2 linked regions of the Sus scrofa genome follow. The protein of the gene in region 1 interacts with the protein of each later gene in a biochemical or structural test. Links are inferred from orthologs where the notes say so. Each region holds a gene or a part of one and is shown on either strand. Other genes may lie near its edges.

Evidence for each region.
Region 2: the proteins of IRF4 (region 1) and STAT6 form a complex in vitro, tested with the Homo sapiens proteins (2 studies listed by BioGRID). The link is inferred for Sus scrofa from reciprocal best matches to the Homo sapiens genes IRF4 and STAT6.

The regions. Positions count from the first base shown.
Region 1 is NC_010449.5:138,106-145,939, reverse strand, and holds part of IRF4 (interferon regulatory factor 4), read right to left. Parts: intron 6,299-7,834; coding exon 6,191-6,298; intron 4,123-6,190; coding exon 3,769-4,122; intron 1,329-3,768; coding exon 1,216-1,328; intron 1-1,215. UniProt on the Homo sapiens protein: Transcriptional activator. Binds to the interferon-stimulated response element (ISRE) of the MHC class I promoter. Binds the immunoglobulin lambda light chain enhancer, together with PU.1.
Region 2 is NC_010447.5:22,404,262-22,411,388, reverse strand, and holds the end of STAT6 (signal transducer and activator of transcription 6), read left to right. Parts: intron 1-639; coding exon 640-734; intron 735-824; coding exon 825-961; intron 962-1,304; coding exon 1,305-1,451; intron 1,452-1,659; coding exon 1,660-1,723; intron 1,724-1,833; coding exon 1,834-1,944; intron 1,945-2,137; coding exon 2,138-2,230; intron 2,231-3,265; coding exon 3,266-3,331; intron 3,332-3,436; coding exon 3,437-3,565; intron 3,566-3,653; coding exon 3,654-3,843; 3' UTR 3,844-5,025; downstream 5,026-7,127. Other genes in the region: NAB2 (NGFI-A-binding protein 2), read right to left, coding at 5,712-5,821, 6,837-7,028. UniProt on the Homo sapiens protein: Carries out a dual function: signal transduction and activation of transcription. Involved in IL4/interleukin-4- and IL3/interleukin-3-mediated signaling.

The sequences.
Region 1 (7,834 bases):
TCATGTTATTTGACATATAACAGCTTCAGCAGAAGTCATCTGAAGGATCAGAGATAAAGGAAATCCACAGCAAAAGGCAGAGGACTACTGGCTGCACACATGTCCTTCCTCCATCAACTGGTTTCAGGGACCCGGGCTGGATACCTTCGCAGACCCAGGGCCAACCCCCGAGACCCAGGTGCAGGACTCACTTTTGCCTTCAGAGCTGATATTGACAAATGCTGAGATCCTTTAGTCCTCGGACAGTTAACGAGAATCAGTTATTCTCTCCATAATTATATCAATCAGTGGAGAGGGTTCATGAGAAAACTCTAAAGTTTATGGTCTATATTTTCATGTATTGCTGGGTTTTTTGATTTTACATCAAAAGGCAGAGGGTCGCATGTTTAAGATTAGATGATGTTATATTTCAGATTTCAATAAGAAACATTATCAGAACTAAAATCTGACCTGAATTTTGTTATTATTTGGTATAATTTTTACTGTTACTGCTCATTATCTGAAGGTATCCATCAATGGACAGTCTCCAAATTTCAAATTCAAAAATCTTAAGCATTCAAAACTCTGTTTTATGTAGCATATTACTGCTAAATATTATCTATCTAAAGCTTTTTTCTTTCGTTCTTTTTTTTTTTTTTTTTTTTTTTTTGTGAAAAGGTGTTTGCTTGCCACAAATGAACCTGTGTTAAACTCTGCAAGAGAACAGGACAATGGCCTGATCTACTTGTGGTCCTTCCAAGATTTAGCCTCCTCCAAATAACACATGGCTCAGATCCAGAAAAAGGAGAAGGTCTGGGGGACAAGCCAGCGGGCAGCCTCCCATTTGGGAAAAGCTTCTCCATCAAGTGAAGATCAGCTATGTGGCGTTTAAAGAGCAATATTAAATGTGAAAAATTTTAAAGGGTAACATTTAGCATCATCCTTTTAAACCCCTATACAATGAGGAAATGATGATTTCCTTGAAAAATAAAAAAGATGGGACAGAAGCAGCCCATGGCTGGAGGTCACCCTCTGCTTAATAAGTGGACACTGGGGGCTGGAGGCATTCGGTCTCTGGGCTGTGCCTGTGCACCCCTCACTGCACACCCTCCCTCCCTGTGTCCCTCTGCACCCCAGTGCCCGGACACTTAATTCTCGTCTAAACTTCTCTGAATGGGGCCTTGCCCTCGAGGACAGTCAGGAAGCCTCAACCACTGGAGGCAAGAAGACACTCACGTGAGCAGTGATGAGCTTCCGTTGCCTCTGGGGGTCCGGAAACTCTTCCCCGAAGCACAGAGTCACCTGGAACCTTGGCAGGGGCCGGCCGTGGTGAGCAAATGCCTGGAGCTCTGCAGAGACCGTGAGAGGAGCCGCTCAGAAACCCTTGCCCTGGACGCGGGCTAGAGCAGGGCGCCTGCGAGGATGCGGGACTAGACCGGGGGTGAGGTGGGCCTCCAGGGAAGGGCACACACCCGTGTTCACAGCGTCTCTCCCGAGGGCTGCAGCCTTCCCCTCAGGGAAATTCACCCTGAGACGGAGAGCCTGGCTTTGCAGCCCTGGACCCATGAAGAAGCAAAGGTGGCAGCAAGGGGTCAAAGAGGAAGAGAGCGAAACGCAGCCACGTTGAGCCAAAAGAATAATTTACACCCAAGAGACATCTTTTTTTAAAAAAAAACAGAATTTTCTGATTGGACCCAGGTTTACTTAAAAATCTCTTCTCAAAACTGCTGAGCCTTCTAACCCAGTATCTGGGCTCCCCGGGATCTCCACGTGACTCAGGCACCACAGAAAGTGCCTCATGTTGTCTTGGAGACCGAGCTGCATCCCAGACGGTGTGCCTTCTGGCACTGGAGGTGAGAGGTGGCGATGAAACCCTGGGCCCCACTTTGGTGGACATGTGCCTGAAGCCACCTCTGCCACCCCAAGATGTGCTGGGGGATCCCCGCGTTCACCCAGCGGGCCCCTGCCCTCTCGACACACTCAGGCTGGAGGGGGCCTCCAGCCGCTTCTTCTAGAGTCAAACGTCACGTCCTCAGAAGAAAGGCGCTCACACAGCTGCTGCCACGTCTGCAGAGCTGCGGCTGCCTCGGGCTGCGTGCGGGGCTGTCCCCAGGACTCTGCAGGCCCTGAAGGGGTAGATATCAAAGATTTCCACTGTTCTCTTCAACTGAAGTGAAGTTTCTAGCTAACTCACTGGACCATTTGACTTCCTGCTTCTTTTTTCTTCCAGAATTCAAATCTAACCTAACTTCGTCAGAACATGTGCAAGGCCCCCACACCATGAGGTGGGAGGCTGCTCCCAGCGGCAGGCTGGCGCGGTTCCCTGAAACTCGCGCCAAGATGCCTGCTGGTCTGCACTTGGGTTCCTGGGTTCCTCCTTGAACCTCAGCACATGCTTTAGATAAGAGGCTGCCCTGAAGTAAGGGCACAGCCCGGGGTCAGAGGAAGGGAAAAGCCCGAAAGCCCTGGGCGCAGACACCTAGGGAGTGAGCGCATGGCCGGAGGCCTCTTGCCCGTCTTGCAGGGGCCGCCGAGGTCGGATGAGGGTCAATCCCCAAGGCAGGCCGGGGACAGAACCCGGAGGGCAAGGCTGCCCTTGTGGGAACCGTAGTGAACATCCCTGTCCCGCGGCATCTTCCCACCCCAAGGTCCGCAACCTCGGAGGAGACCCCCCCCAGGGTTCTGTGGGACCCCAGACACCAGAGCTGCGGCTCTCGGCTCCTTCGCAGGCCTCACTGCATCCACACGCTGGACCCCTGGACCCCAGGACCAACGGAAAACCCACATGGAGGCAGTGCTGCCACTCTGGGTGGGGGAGGCTTCAGACCAAGGAGGGGGGACCAGAGACTCGGCATCCCCGCCTCGTCTGGCCTCTGTGGGGGGGTTCATGGTCGGGGGATGTGTTTGCTTGGGCGGCAAAAGAGAATCCAGGTGAGCGCAGAGAGTCCAGACACTGAACCCCCAAACCCCAAGGCTGAGCCTGTGTCTCTGGCGGTGCAGCAGGGGTGCCGTGTTTGGTTTACACAAAGCAGGGCACAAAGCACTTCAGGGACTGGAGAGGCACCGAGAGCCCAAAGGGTGCTTCCGAAGCGGGGCTGCGGATAAGATCGTCAGGGAGGGGTGCCAGTGGGCAGGCAGAACCGCCTCCCTCCAGAAAGCCTCGTGAACACCGACGGCTCAGGGACGCTTGGTGAGGCCTCCACAAAAAGGGGGCAGGGGTCTCAAGAGAGTGGCCCAGAGCTAGTCGAACTGCCATGAAATCAGAACTGGGGAAACAAAACCGACGGGTCCCGGAAAATGTGATTTGAAACCTAGAGACAACTCAGCACCGTCTCACGATTTCCCCTCTGCAAAATCAGTTCACTGCACTCACCCCGGTCCCACCTGCTGAAAGGCCTCTACCTGAGAATGACACATCTCATAACCAAGAGTGCCAACAATGCACTGCCAACCTTACGATTTGTCTAGGAACCTTAAAAGCGCTGAAACATCAGCAAATCACAGAGGCAATAAAAACGTGAACCTGATTAGTTGGTGAGCAGTGGGTCAACACCAGAATTTCAAGACCTCGGCCTGAACCTCAGCCCCCTCACTACCCCTCCTCTTCCTACTCCTCTGTGATGGGGTGACAGGTGAGCAGACAGGAAACCCATTCCAGGATCATGCCTGGGGGCTCCAGGTTACACAGAAGGAAGACCAGGAGCAACTGGCCTGCTGCTTCTGACCCCGTGGCCGGAGCGCCATCCGCAGCTCCACTCCCGCCATTCTGACAGAAGCTGGCTGCCTTACCTGATAAGAACTGCTGTGTGTCAAACAGCTTGCAGGTCTGCTCTCTCTCCAGCTTGTTGGGCCGGTCACTGCACAGCGCCAGGGGCCCGTCCCAGTAGATCCTGCTCTGGCAAAGTCTCTTGGCATAAAGCCCATCGGGGGCCATCCAGAGGACCACGCCCCTTTCCAGATGGCTCAGCAGCTTCTCAATGTTCTTCCTCTGGCCGCTGTCCTCTGGGTAGGGAAAAACGACCTGGTCCAGGCTGCTGGCATCGTAGGTGTGGCCATGGGAGATCCGGCAGCCTTCGGGGCTGGACGTGGTCAGCTCTTTCACCAGGATTTCCCGGTAGTACAGGCAGATGTGGAGCCGGCAGTCTGCAAACACAGAGCTTTTGGGGTCAGTGCTAAGGAGCCATGGGGCACTGCACACCTGCTAGGATGCCACACTCCCGACCGGAATAAAGCATACTTGGCAGGACCCTCGGAAGACACTGCAAGGCCTCTCGTCCCTCCTGGAAACTCACCCGATGCTGGAGAAGCCGTGCACAAGTCTGGGCAATGTTCCCTACTGGCATTGTCCGGATGTACCGGACACGGTTGGGGGGCGGGGTGGGGAGCACGGGGGTGGCCCACGCTTAGTGTCTTAACACACCGATTCACAAGCCACTGAACAGAAATGCACTTCAAGCACAGCAAACAATTTTGGTTTTGGAAGAAGCTATGTTTAAATGATTTCTACTTGCAAAAGCGTACAGTGGTGTTTCAGAAAAAAACAAAACTATGTCCACACACCTGAAACTACCCTAAAATATCAATATGATGCCATTTAGCTAAAAAACCATTATACATATGCCGGTACACATTTAAGTGTGCGGAAGGGTAAGTCTTGACGGTGGTTGATCTCTGGGTGGTGGGACTGTGGCTTTTTATTCTCCATTTTTGCTTTTCTGATCTTTAAATTCTTTCTCCGCTGCACATGTGCAGCTTATGTACTAAGATTACCTCGTGAGGCAAACGTTCTGAACCTAAGGTCTGCTGAGACCCGCTTGGCTTTGCGTCGGAGTCGGAGAAAGGCCCTGCAATGGGGCTTTCTCAAACACCAAACAGGATGGATTCTTTTTGGAAGTTTGCTGATTTCAGAGCCTTCTTTAAAATCGGATTCACAGACTAAAAGGACCAAGCCAAGGTTGCCAAGGGCCCCTGACCTGAACCCCAAAGGGCTTCCCGAGAGGCAGCAGCTCCATCCTAACCGCGTGGAGTTCAAACTTGAGCGGATGGCAGGCCTCTGATAAACGGGCAAGTAATTAATCTGTCCCGTGCACTCAGAGAAAGCCACAGAAGCCTCTTATTCCTCAACACAGGTCTTGAGACTCGACCCACATCGCTGCCTCCAGCCTCTTCTGCAACGCCGGCTGCCGTGAGCCCCGAGGAGTGGGTGTTGGCCATTTGAGGTTCATTTCATTGAGCGTCATCAGAAATCACGCGGTCATGGGATATAAATAGCCGTTTATTTCCTACTCTTCAGGCACCCACACAAGTGTGAGGTGCTCAAGAAAAGGATTGAAAGTTTCTAAAAACAAACACGGGCCTTTCTGCTTAGAGCCCTTCCCAGCCTCCATCACCCAGGAGCCCCTGAGAAGAAAGGCAGCACCCTTGCAGAGCCTCAGAGCCAAACCCTTGTTTCCTGAAACCCTGAGAATTCACTTTATAGTTTCTGTCACTGATTTTCAAAGAGACCAGTGTGTGAGGTGAGAATTCTGAAGCTTAAGCTGTTCATTTTTAATACAAGTACAAACCCCATTTTAAAACAATCAAAACATTATCTAAAAACAATAAATGTACATACATCACATATGCTCAGTAAAGCCTGAGCTGCCTTCCTTACACCGGGCGGGGGTTGCTAAGATGCAGGGGTTCTTTCAGAGATGAGACTTTAAAAGCCACATCTAATCCACCTTTGTTTGCAAGACATTTCACGTTCAGAGGAAGACAGGGTGCTTGTCCCTTGGCCTTCGAACGTGATGAGAGAGAGGACCCAGAACTGGGTGCCCGGGAAGCTGAGGGGCCACCTGTTTGCAGCTAAACCTGGAAGCGTGCGGAGCGTTTCAAAACGAGGCACTCCTGTGCTTGGTCCTGAGAAACTGCACTAAGCTGTGGGGGTTCTGGCTGAAGAGGGGACCCAGCAAATGAATCCGGGGTGTCTGCACATTCCTGGAAAGTTAGGCGTCAATGGGGAGCTTTAAAAGACTCATTTCAGACAGCCTGGAGAAGCGGATCAGGATCAGGAGCCGGCCTCTGGTGGCTAACTTTTCTAACCTCACTCACATAGTCAGGAGTCAGAGGTTCCCACCCGCCCCAGGCCCCAGCTGTGCTCAGCCACCCCCTGGAATCTACCCGAGGTGAGGGGAGCCTCTGGACGCCGCCTCCTGGGAGCCCCACTCACCTGAGAGGGCCAAGGCTTCGGCAGACCTTATGCTTGGCTCTATGGGGATTCCGGGGGCCTGGGACTCAGGCGGGGCACAAGCATAAAAGGTTCCTGTCACCTGGCAACCTGCGTTTGCAAACAAAAATCAGACGCCATCTAAACAGAGTCCAACGCAGAGGGGGGTGGCCTCTCCCTGAGGTGGGGCCGGTCAGCCCCGGATGCACCGACGGGAGGGGCAGCCCGAGATCCAAGGAGGAAGAAGCCTTTTCCCAGCCGGAAGGAAACTTAGAGTCTCCGTCTGTAATTTCCTTCCTGCCTTCTTCCGACCTGCCTTCTTCCTGCTTGCTTTCCTGCCTTCTTCCTTTTTTGTTAGCACCTCCATCCCCTCCCACGATTACCTGTGCGAAAGGTACCTTTAAAATCAGAGAACACCTAAAATCTACTCTACCTGCACTTTGAACATGACAGACCGTCGTTATCTGCGGTCTCCAGGCTGTGTCTGTCGCACCCCAGGATGCATTCGTCTCATAATTGGAAGTTTGTCCCCTGGGACGAACATTCCTGCGTAACTGATAACAGGGTAACGGAGGCTCAGAGAAATGGGGTGATTTGCCCCATCCACACAGCAAGTTCACAGCAGCGCTGTGAGCCCGGGTCTCTCTCCAATCCGATCCGACACCAAAGAGCCCAGTCAAGAACTTACACACTGTTTGGTTCCAGTTTACTTAGCTGCTACTTCTGGGCTCAGGAGAAAACTGAACCAAAAGTCATGCCAGCACGATAGCTGTGCGTTGCGTTAAACATCACTAGAGAAAGTATGGGACAGAACCTCGTTTTGCTGGCATATGACTAAAGCCCCTTGTGCCCATCTGGTCTATCTTCTCACAGTTCCAGGCACTGCCTCTTTATGAGGTGATGAGTTCAATGGAGCTGGTGCACTGGAAACAGGTCTGAACTCCAGAAACCCCTGCAACATTAGCTGATTCCTGCACCACAATATGGAAAACCAACCTTTACTGCACATGACTGTTGAAAAGCTAATAAAACCCAATTCTGAGCTTTTTTAACAAACATGCCACTCAACACAAATCTTAAGTAATTGTTTGCTTGCTCAATACCACAAGCCAAGAGTGACCTGGACATGACTAGAAAAAGGAGCAAATATTCCTAGAACAGACAAAAGCATCTGTGTGTTGACTGGTCTCAGGATTTCGCTTAAAAACTGACTCAAGAGCCCTAAAAACTTCTGCTTTGCTGTACTGAATATACCATGTGAACTTGTCTCTGCACTCAGCAAACTTGTGCTTCTGCTGCGAGCTCTCATCCTGGGGTTGAGGAAGGCCTCCAGTTGACCACATGTAACCCAATCAGCTCCAACACTAAGCAGGCCCCCTGTGGAGACTTCTCGTGTTTTCTTTATGGTATTTCTTCACTCCCTTCTCACCATCGCCTCTGATCTTGGCAACATGGGCACACATTGTTTAAGAGAAATACACTAGCACAGTAAACTCCTGGTGTCCCTACAGAGGGAGGGCTTGGGCACAGCTGCAGGATCCCGAGCTCGCAGATGTGTAGACAGAAACAGTCAGCATTAAGGGACGAGCCCATCTTCTCTGGGAAGTCTGCCAAAATTGACTACTTTTTGCCCAAGATTAAAAATAA
Region 2 (7,127 bases), on another chromosome or scaffold:
CGTGACTATATTTTATGGCCCCCCAAATCAGGTGGCTCAGGACTGGGCCTGTTACACGAATAGGGATAAAAGGAGGCCTGGCTGTCTTGGTTGAGGACCAGCCGGGTAAAGGTAGTCATGTACTGATCTCTTAGAAAAAGAAGAAAGAAAAACCCACACGGCCAGAGGATGTGTTAGCAAAGGGAGCAGGACACTCACATCCTGCAAGCTGCCTTCCATGGACTCCACTTCCACCAGGCCTCGTTGGGAGGGGGTGGAACACAGTGGTTAGGACAGGGCCCAGTCTAGACTTTCTGGGCCAAATCCCAGCTCTGCTTCTCTCCAGCTCTGTGGACCTGGCCAAGTTATTTGACCTTTCTAGGCTTCCATTTTTTTCTCTGTAAGATGGGACAGTCATAGGACTTACCTCCATAAGCTTGTAAAGATCAGATACATTAATTTATGAAAAGAGCTTAGAATAGCACCTAGCACATGGTAAGCTTGAGTGCTGACCATTGTCACTGATGGGGGTCTCAGGTCCAGTGTGGACCCTCAGCCCTGTGACTCTGTTGTGTGGGTACTCACAGCCCAGTGCCTGCCCTAATTAGGCTCTCGCTGTGGCCCTCCTGTCCTCATACCAGCTCCCCACACGCCCAATAGGAGATCCTGCTAGGTCGTGGCTTCACCTTTTGGCAGTGGTTTGATGGTGTCCTGGACCTCACCAAACGCTGTCTCCGGAGCTACTGGTCAGATCGGTGAGTCCCTGCCCCGGGCGGCCTGAGCAACTGTACCTCCTGTTGCATACCCTGTACCTCCACCCATACCCTCTCCGTCTTCTTGGCCAGGTTGATCATTGGCTTCATCAGCAAACAGTATGTCACTAGCCTTCTCCTCAATGAACCTGATGGAACCTTCCTCCTTCGCTTCAGTGACTCAGAGATTGGGGGCATCACCATTGCCCACGTTATCAGAGGCCAGGATGGTGAGGTCACCCCAGCCAATCTGCTGCCTCTATCCCTAGGCCCTCTGGGATTTCTTCTGGGAAGGAAATGTCTTGGCCTTCCTTGTTGCCAACCCTGATCTTCGGGAAGATCTTTCTTAGGTCCAACTTCTCTTCTGCCTTCTGTGGGCTAAACTTCTGCCTGCTCACTGTGAGCTCTGTGGCAATGGAGACTGGTGGGTCTCCCTTGCTCAGGACCCTCACCGTAGCTCCTCTCCTCTTTATCTTGGTGGAATGAGGATAAGTCCAAGGGTGTGGTGGGGTTGGCAGGGTAAGAGGAAGAAAGTCTGGACAGAGGGGACTCAGGGCCTCATTTCTGTTGTAGGATCCCCACAGATAGAGAACATCCAGCCGTTCTCTGCCAAAGACCTGTCCATTCGCTCACTGGGGGACCGAATCCGGGACCTTGCTCAGCTCAAAAACCTCTACCCCAAGAAACCCAAGGATGAGGCTTTCCGGAGCCACTACAAACGTGAGCTGGGCCCGAAGTTCTGATTCCTTCCTGTTGTCCACCTCCTTCCTGCTCCCAGCTGCCCCCTCCCTGCCCACTGTGTGTCATTCCTGTCTTCTCTCTCCATCCTCGTCACCCTGTGTCTCCTACCTGCCTCTCAGCCATGCCCACCTTTTCCACCTCCCTAACCCGGAAGCACTCCAAGGCTCTCCTTTCCTCCCCACAACAGCTGAGCAGATGGGTAAGGATGGCAGGGGATATGTCCCAGCTACGATCAAGATGACTGTGGAAAGGTGAGTGTGTTGATGTGGGTGGAGGGTTGGGGGGGCCTGGGACTTACTGGTAGGAAGGGGTGGTGGCATCGACCCCTGGTCAGTCACCCACGTCTTCTCCCCTCCTCCAGGGACCAGCCTCTTCCCACCCCAGAACCCCAAATGCCCACCATGGTGCCCACTTATGATCTTGGAATGGCCCCTGACACCTCCATGAACATGCAGCTCAGCCCAGATATGGTGTAAGAAGCTTGAGCGATGGAAACAGGAGGGATCCGTGCAGGCGGGCCCTTGGCATGGGCAGCCAGAGAGCTGGCAAAGGGGGGGCTGAAGTGGGGCATTTTCCTTTTCTTGAAAGGAATTCCCCATCTTGAGGCAGGGGTGGGGGTGTCCAGGAGAAGGGCTGGCATCAGGGGTCTGCTTTCTTTTCCCCAGGTCCCAGATGTATCCACCACACTCTCACTCCATCCCCTCATATCCAGCCATCCCCCGGGAAGAATCGGTCAGTGTGTTGTCAGCCTTCCAGGAGTAAGTGGGGGCACCTCTGGGGGATGGGGTGGGACACCCCCCTGCATTGGGGGTGGGCAATTGCGTTTGTTGGGAGAGGCTTTTCTGTGAGAAAGGGGTGGCAAACCCCTAGCACTTTGGTCTCTTCTGTCCACTCCACTGGGGTGTTAGTGGTTAAGATCCAGGTTGGAATTCTGACTTTGGGCAAGTTACTTAACTCTGGAGCCTCATTTGTAGAATGGGGAAAAATGCTGATACCTTCCTCAGAGGATTATTGTGAAGGGTGAGTTAATAATATGTGTAAAGCTATGCATAGTACCTGGCTCCTAGCAAGAGCCATTTAAGTACTAATATTATCTGATCTGCCCTTGAAATTGACTGTCATGTATCTGCTGTCTTGATTTTTATTTATTCCTCTTTTTGGCCCTGTAGTGGTGTAGATATTTTTGTTCTCCAGGTAGCACTCACATTCTTAGTAACTCTCAGTCAAGGCAGGACATCTCCTCTCCCAGGAGTTGCAGTGGGGGTGGGGACTGGGGGGACTTAGAACCACCAGAGTTCAGAGTTTGGAAATCAGCTAATCTAGGGAGTTCCCGTTGTGGCTCAGTGGTAATGAACCTGACTAGTATCCATGAGGATGCGGGTTTGATTCCTGGCCTCTATTCAGTGGGTTAAGGATCCGGCATTGCCAATGACTGGTCATTGCATACGTGCCTTGAATCCTGTGTGGCTGTGACTGTGGTGTAGGCTGGCAGCTGCAGCTCTGATTCAGTCCCTAGCCTGGGAACTTCCATATGCCAGGGTACGGCCCTAAAAAAAAAAAAGGAAAAAATTAGCCTAGCTAATCTAGCTCTCCTCTCCCCCTGCCCCCAGTCCCTACATTTACTTATACAAGTGAGAAGACCAAGCGCACAGGTAGAAATGGCTTACCCAAAGCTATGCCGTCAGGATAAGGAGCAGGAAATTCTGTTCCTCACTCAGTGGTCTTGACTTTGCAACACCCTGCTCTTGCCCACCTCTTCCTTTCTCTGACTGTGCCCTCCTTCCTGCTTCCAGACCTCACCTGCAGATGCCCCCTAACCTGAGCCAGATGGGCCTGCCCTTTGACCAACCTCACCCACAGTGAGTGACAAACCACCCCTCCCCCATTCTGATCTCAAGCTCCCCATTGATTCCCAGCCTCGAAGCCACCCCCCCCACCTCATTTACTTTTCTGGGCCTGGGCAGGGGCCTACTGCCATGCCAGCCTCAGGAGCATGCTGTGTCCAGCCCTGAGCCCCTGCTCTGCCCAGATGTGACCATGGCAGAAGAGAGTTGCCTGAGCCAGCCAGTGGGAGGGTTCCCTCAAGGCACCTGGTGAGTATTGGCCTCGGGGTGGAGGCTGGGTGGGGGCTGAGGAATGGGTGCCATGCCTATCCCACTGCTTCTCCCTTTCTCCCTGCAGGGTTGGTGAAGACATGTTCCCACCCTTGCTGCCTCCCACTGAACAGGACCTCACTAAGCTTCTCTTGGAGGGGCAAGGGGAGTCAGGGGGAGGGTCCCTGGGAGCCCAGCCCCTCCTGCAGCCCTCCCTCTATGGGCAGTCTGGGATCTCCATGTCCCATCTGGACCTAAGGGCTAACCCCAGTTGGTGATCCCAGCTGGAAGGGGAACCCAGAGAGACAGCTCTCCTGCCCCCTCGGACCTGCTCTGGACACTTGCCCATGCTCCTGCCAAGCAGCGGATGGGGCGGGTGTCCTCTTGTCCCCACCTACATCCTGGCCAAGAGCAAAGGACTTTGCCAGGAGAACGCACAGTGGGTGGAACCTCTCAGCTCCTTCCCTCCCACCACACACCCTTGCCCTCCCCCTTCCAAATGCTGGAAGGGTAATTCAGGTTCCAAGTGAGACCAGCCCCAGCATGCCTGTACACGCGGAAAACACACATACGGCCCTCCCTGGAGGATGGGGCTGAGCAGGAAGAGGGCTGGGCAGGAGCACAGATGAGGGCACAGAGGGCTTCTCCACCTGCCTGGAGCCAGGGCTCAGGACTCACACATGTAGAAACATGTGGACATGTGCACACATCTGCACCAGATGCCAGGGGTGGAGGTATAGGCTTGGGTCCCAGCCCCCGGGGAGATGGGGAAGCAGTTCAGGAGACACTGGGTAGGAGGAGGGAGGGTCTGTACATTTGGTTACTGATATGGGTTTTGCCTGGATTAAAAGATGAATCCTGAACAGCTCCAAATTTGTCAGTCAGATGGAGGCTTCTGGACATGTGCATGAGATTATGCAGAAGTACAAAGGCTGAGTTTGTGTGTATAGCTGTGCAAAAGTATGTGTACTTGAGACATGTTACTATATAGATGTCACACACGTTAGCTGTACAGCCACATAGAACATGTACCTCTCTGATTTTGCCTGTGTGACAACACACGTTTGAAAGTGTGAGACACTGCACAAAAGATACCAGCAAGCATGCTGGCCTCTCTGGTGTATGCGAACCCAAATGCACTCACTCATCTTTGAGAACTGTGCCCAGAGGGGTCTTCGTGGCTGTGACATCTGCATATGGCTGTAGTTTTGGTGGCTCATCACCACCAGTCCTGCCCAGAGGCAGGGGGTAGAGAGTCTGGGGTCCAGACTCAAGTGTGTGGTCCTTTGGGTGTATCGGGGGCCCTACCCACTGCTTCTTTTCTATTTCCCCAGCCACCGCCAGCTTCCCTCCACTCCCCTGCCCCATGCCACCCTTTCTCCATCTTGGGGGTCATAGATCCTAAGCCATAAAATAAATTTTATTCCAAAATAACAAAATAAATAATCTACTGTACACGATCTGAAAAGAAAGATGCTCTAACTGCTCAGACAGGTGCTGCGGCCCAGCCCCCAGCTAAGGGAGACCCTGAGTCCACCCAAGCCTCCTGAGGGGGCTGGTGAAGGGGACCCCATGCCCCCCTAGAGAGGGCAGGAGGGAGAGAACCGCTGAGGACTTGGGAGAAGGATGGGGATGGGTAGGCAAACTGCAGCACTTGTTAAATTAAAGAAACAAACTAGAAGCACAAAAATGGGGGAATGGAGGGAGGATCAGGTCCAGTGTTCCCAGGCCCCCAGTTCTGGGGGGGAAATGTTTCCACTTTTAGTTGCTGGACCCTCCCAGGATAGTCCCCCTTTCCCCCATGTCCAAACCGAGTCCAACTGCTCACACCACTGGTTCAAACTAGAGAATGGGAGTGTGCTGTGTAAGGAAGGGGAGAACCCCAAGTGCCCTGGAGGCAGAGTCCTTGCCCCTTGCTCTGGGCAACGGTGAGGGGGGCACCACGCACCCTCCTTGTGTCCTCTCGCCAGGCCCCTGCTCGTTATTGCTTGAAGCCCCATAGTTCTATGCCCATGGGGCCGGTGGGGAGGCAGGAGAAGGGCAGCGGAAGGATCCAGGGCTGTGACTAGGTGCCAGGGACGCGGAGTCGAGGGGTTGTGTGACCCGGGAGCCCAGGCCCCGCGGTCTGAGGACAGCAGTCCCGCCCTCACTGCCGGCTGGCCTCAGCCTCCACTTTGACGCTGCTCCTCCGACCTTCCACCAGAGCGGGATGGGGTCCCGGCGCAGGGCATCGGTCTACCAGCCCCTCCTCGAACTCTGCGGGGAGAAGGGGTCAGTTAGGAGGCTGCGAGGTGAACGCTGTAGACAGAGGTGGTTGAGAACAAAGGCAGGTGTAGAGAAGGCTGTAAAGTTGAGCTCGGATTTACAGCCCTCAGCCCACCTCGCGCGCGCGCGGGTGAGTGCATGTATGTGGGGGGGGGGGTTTCTATAGCCAAGTGTGTGCACCCCTTCCCCTTCTTAGCAGTGTGTAGCTCTCGGTCTTTGTAAGTGTCTCTCTCTTTCTCGGTCTCTCCCGCCTCCGTTCTGCTGGAATTTCTGGTTCTGTCAGGAGCTGCGGGGGCGGGTTGGCTGTGACCTCTCCCCCTCCCCCCTTCCCAGGCTCTGCCGCCCCCACTCATCCCTGGCCTCCTCCCAGGCCCTGCCTACCCTACCATGCACGCCCCCCCCCCCCAGTTTCTTAGAAGCCAAATCAAGGGGATCACAGGAAGCCAACCTCCCAGCTCCTCCCCCAAGAAGAGCCCCTCTTTCAGTCCCCGCCCCCACTTCCCACCCACACACAGTTTAAAAATACCAAGCCAGGGTTGGTGGCTTTGTCTGCTGCGTCACTCTCAGCCCAGCCGCTGCCCGGCCCTCTGCTGGCCTACTCCCTCACTCCCCCTTCCCCCATCCACGCACCAAGCATACCCCTTTGGGCTCGTCCAATTCTAAGCTGGCAACCTCACCCCTACTCCTAGAATGCTCCACCCTCCTGTGTTGGTAAAAGTTCTATCCAAGCTTCTCTTCTTGATGACCCTCCTTTTCCTGCTCCCCAGTTCCCCCTTCAGAGATGCCCATTAGGGTCAGACCCTCCCTATTGGGAACAGCCCTCCAAGGGCTCCCCTCTCCTCAACCCAAGGCCTGGTTGGCTGGAGCTCCACCATCCTTATTGCCCTCTCTGGTGACTACATCCCTCTTCCTCCCACCTGGCCCCAGGACACCAGGATTGCTGTGTGTGTTGGGGGAGAGCCTGGGTGGCAGGGGTGGTTGGGGACAGCACTGCTGGCTGCCTCACCTGCGAGAGGCGGCTTCGCAGGCACACAGGGGCTGAGGCGGCCCACGCGGTCATGGGAGACGAGGCGGGCTAGCCGCAGCCCCTCATCCATCAGTGTCTGCTGCAGGATGTGGCGGCTCCACAGCCCATGGGCTGGCAATGCCAGAGGCAGGTCAGCAGGGGGCGGCGTCAGCCTTGGGCATGACCCCACAGCTGTGGGCATGGGCACGGGTCAGGTAAGGGACCACAGTCCACGGAACCCCCACCCTCAACTGCAAAGCCAGACCCATAGGCCCAGGCCCATTTGCCCCC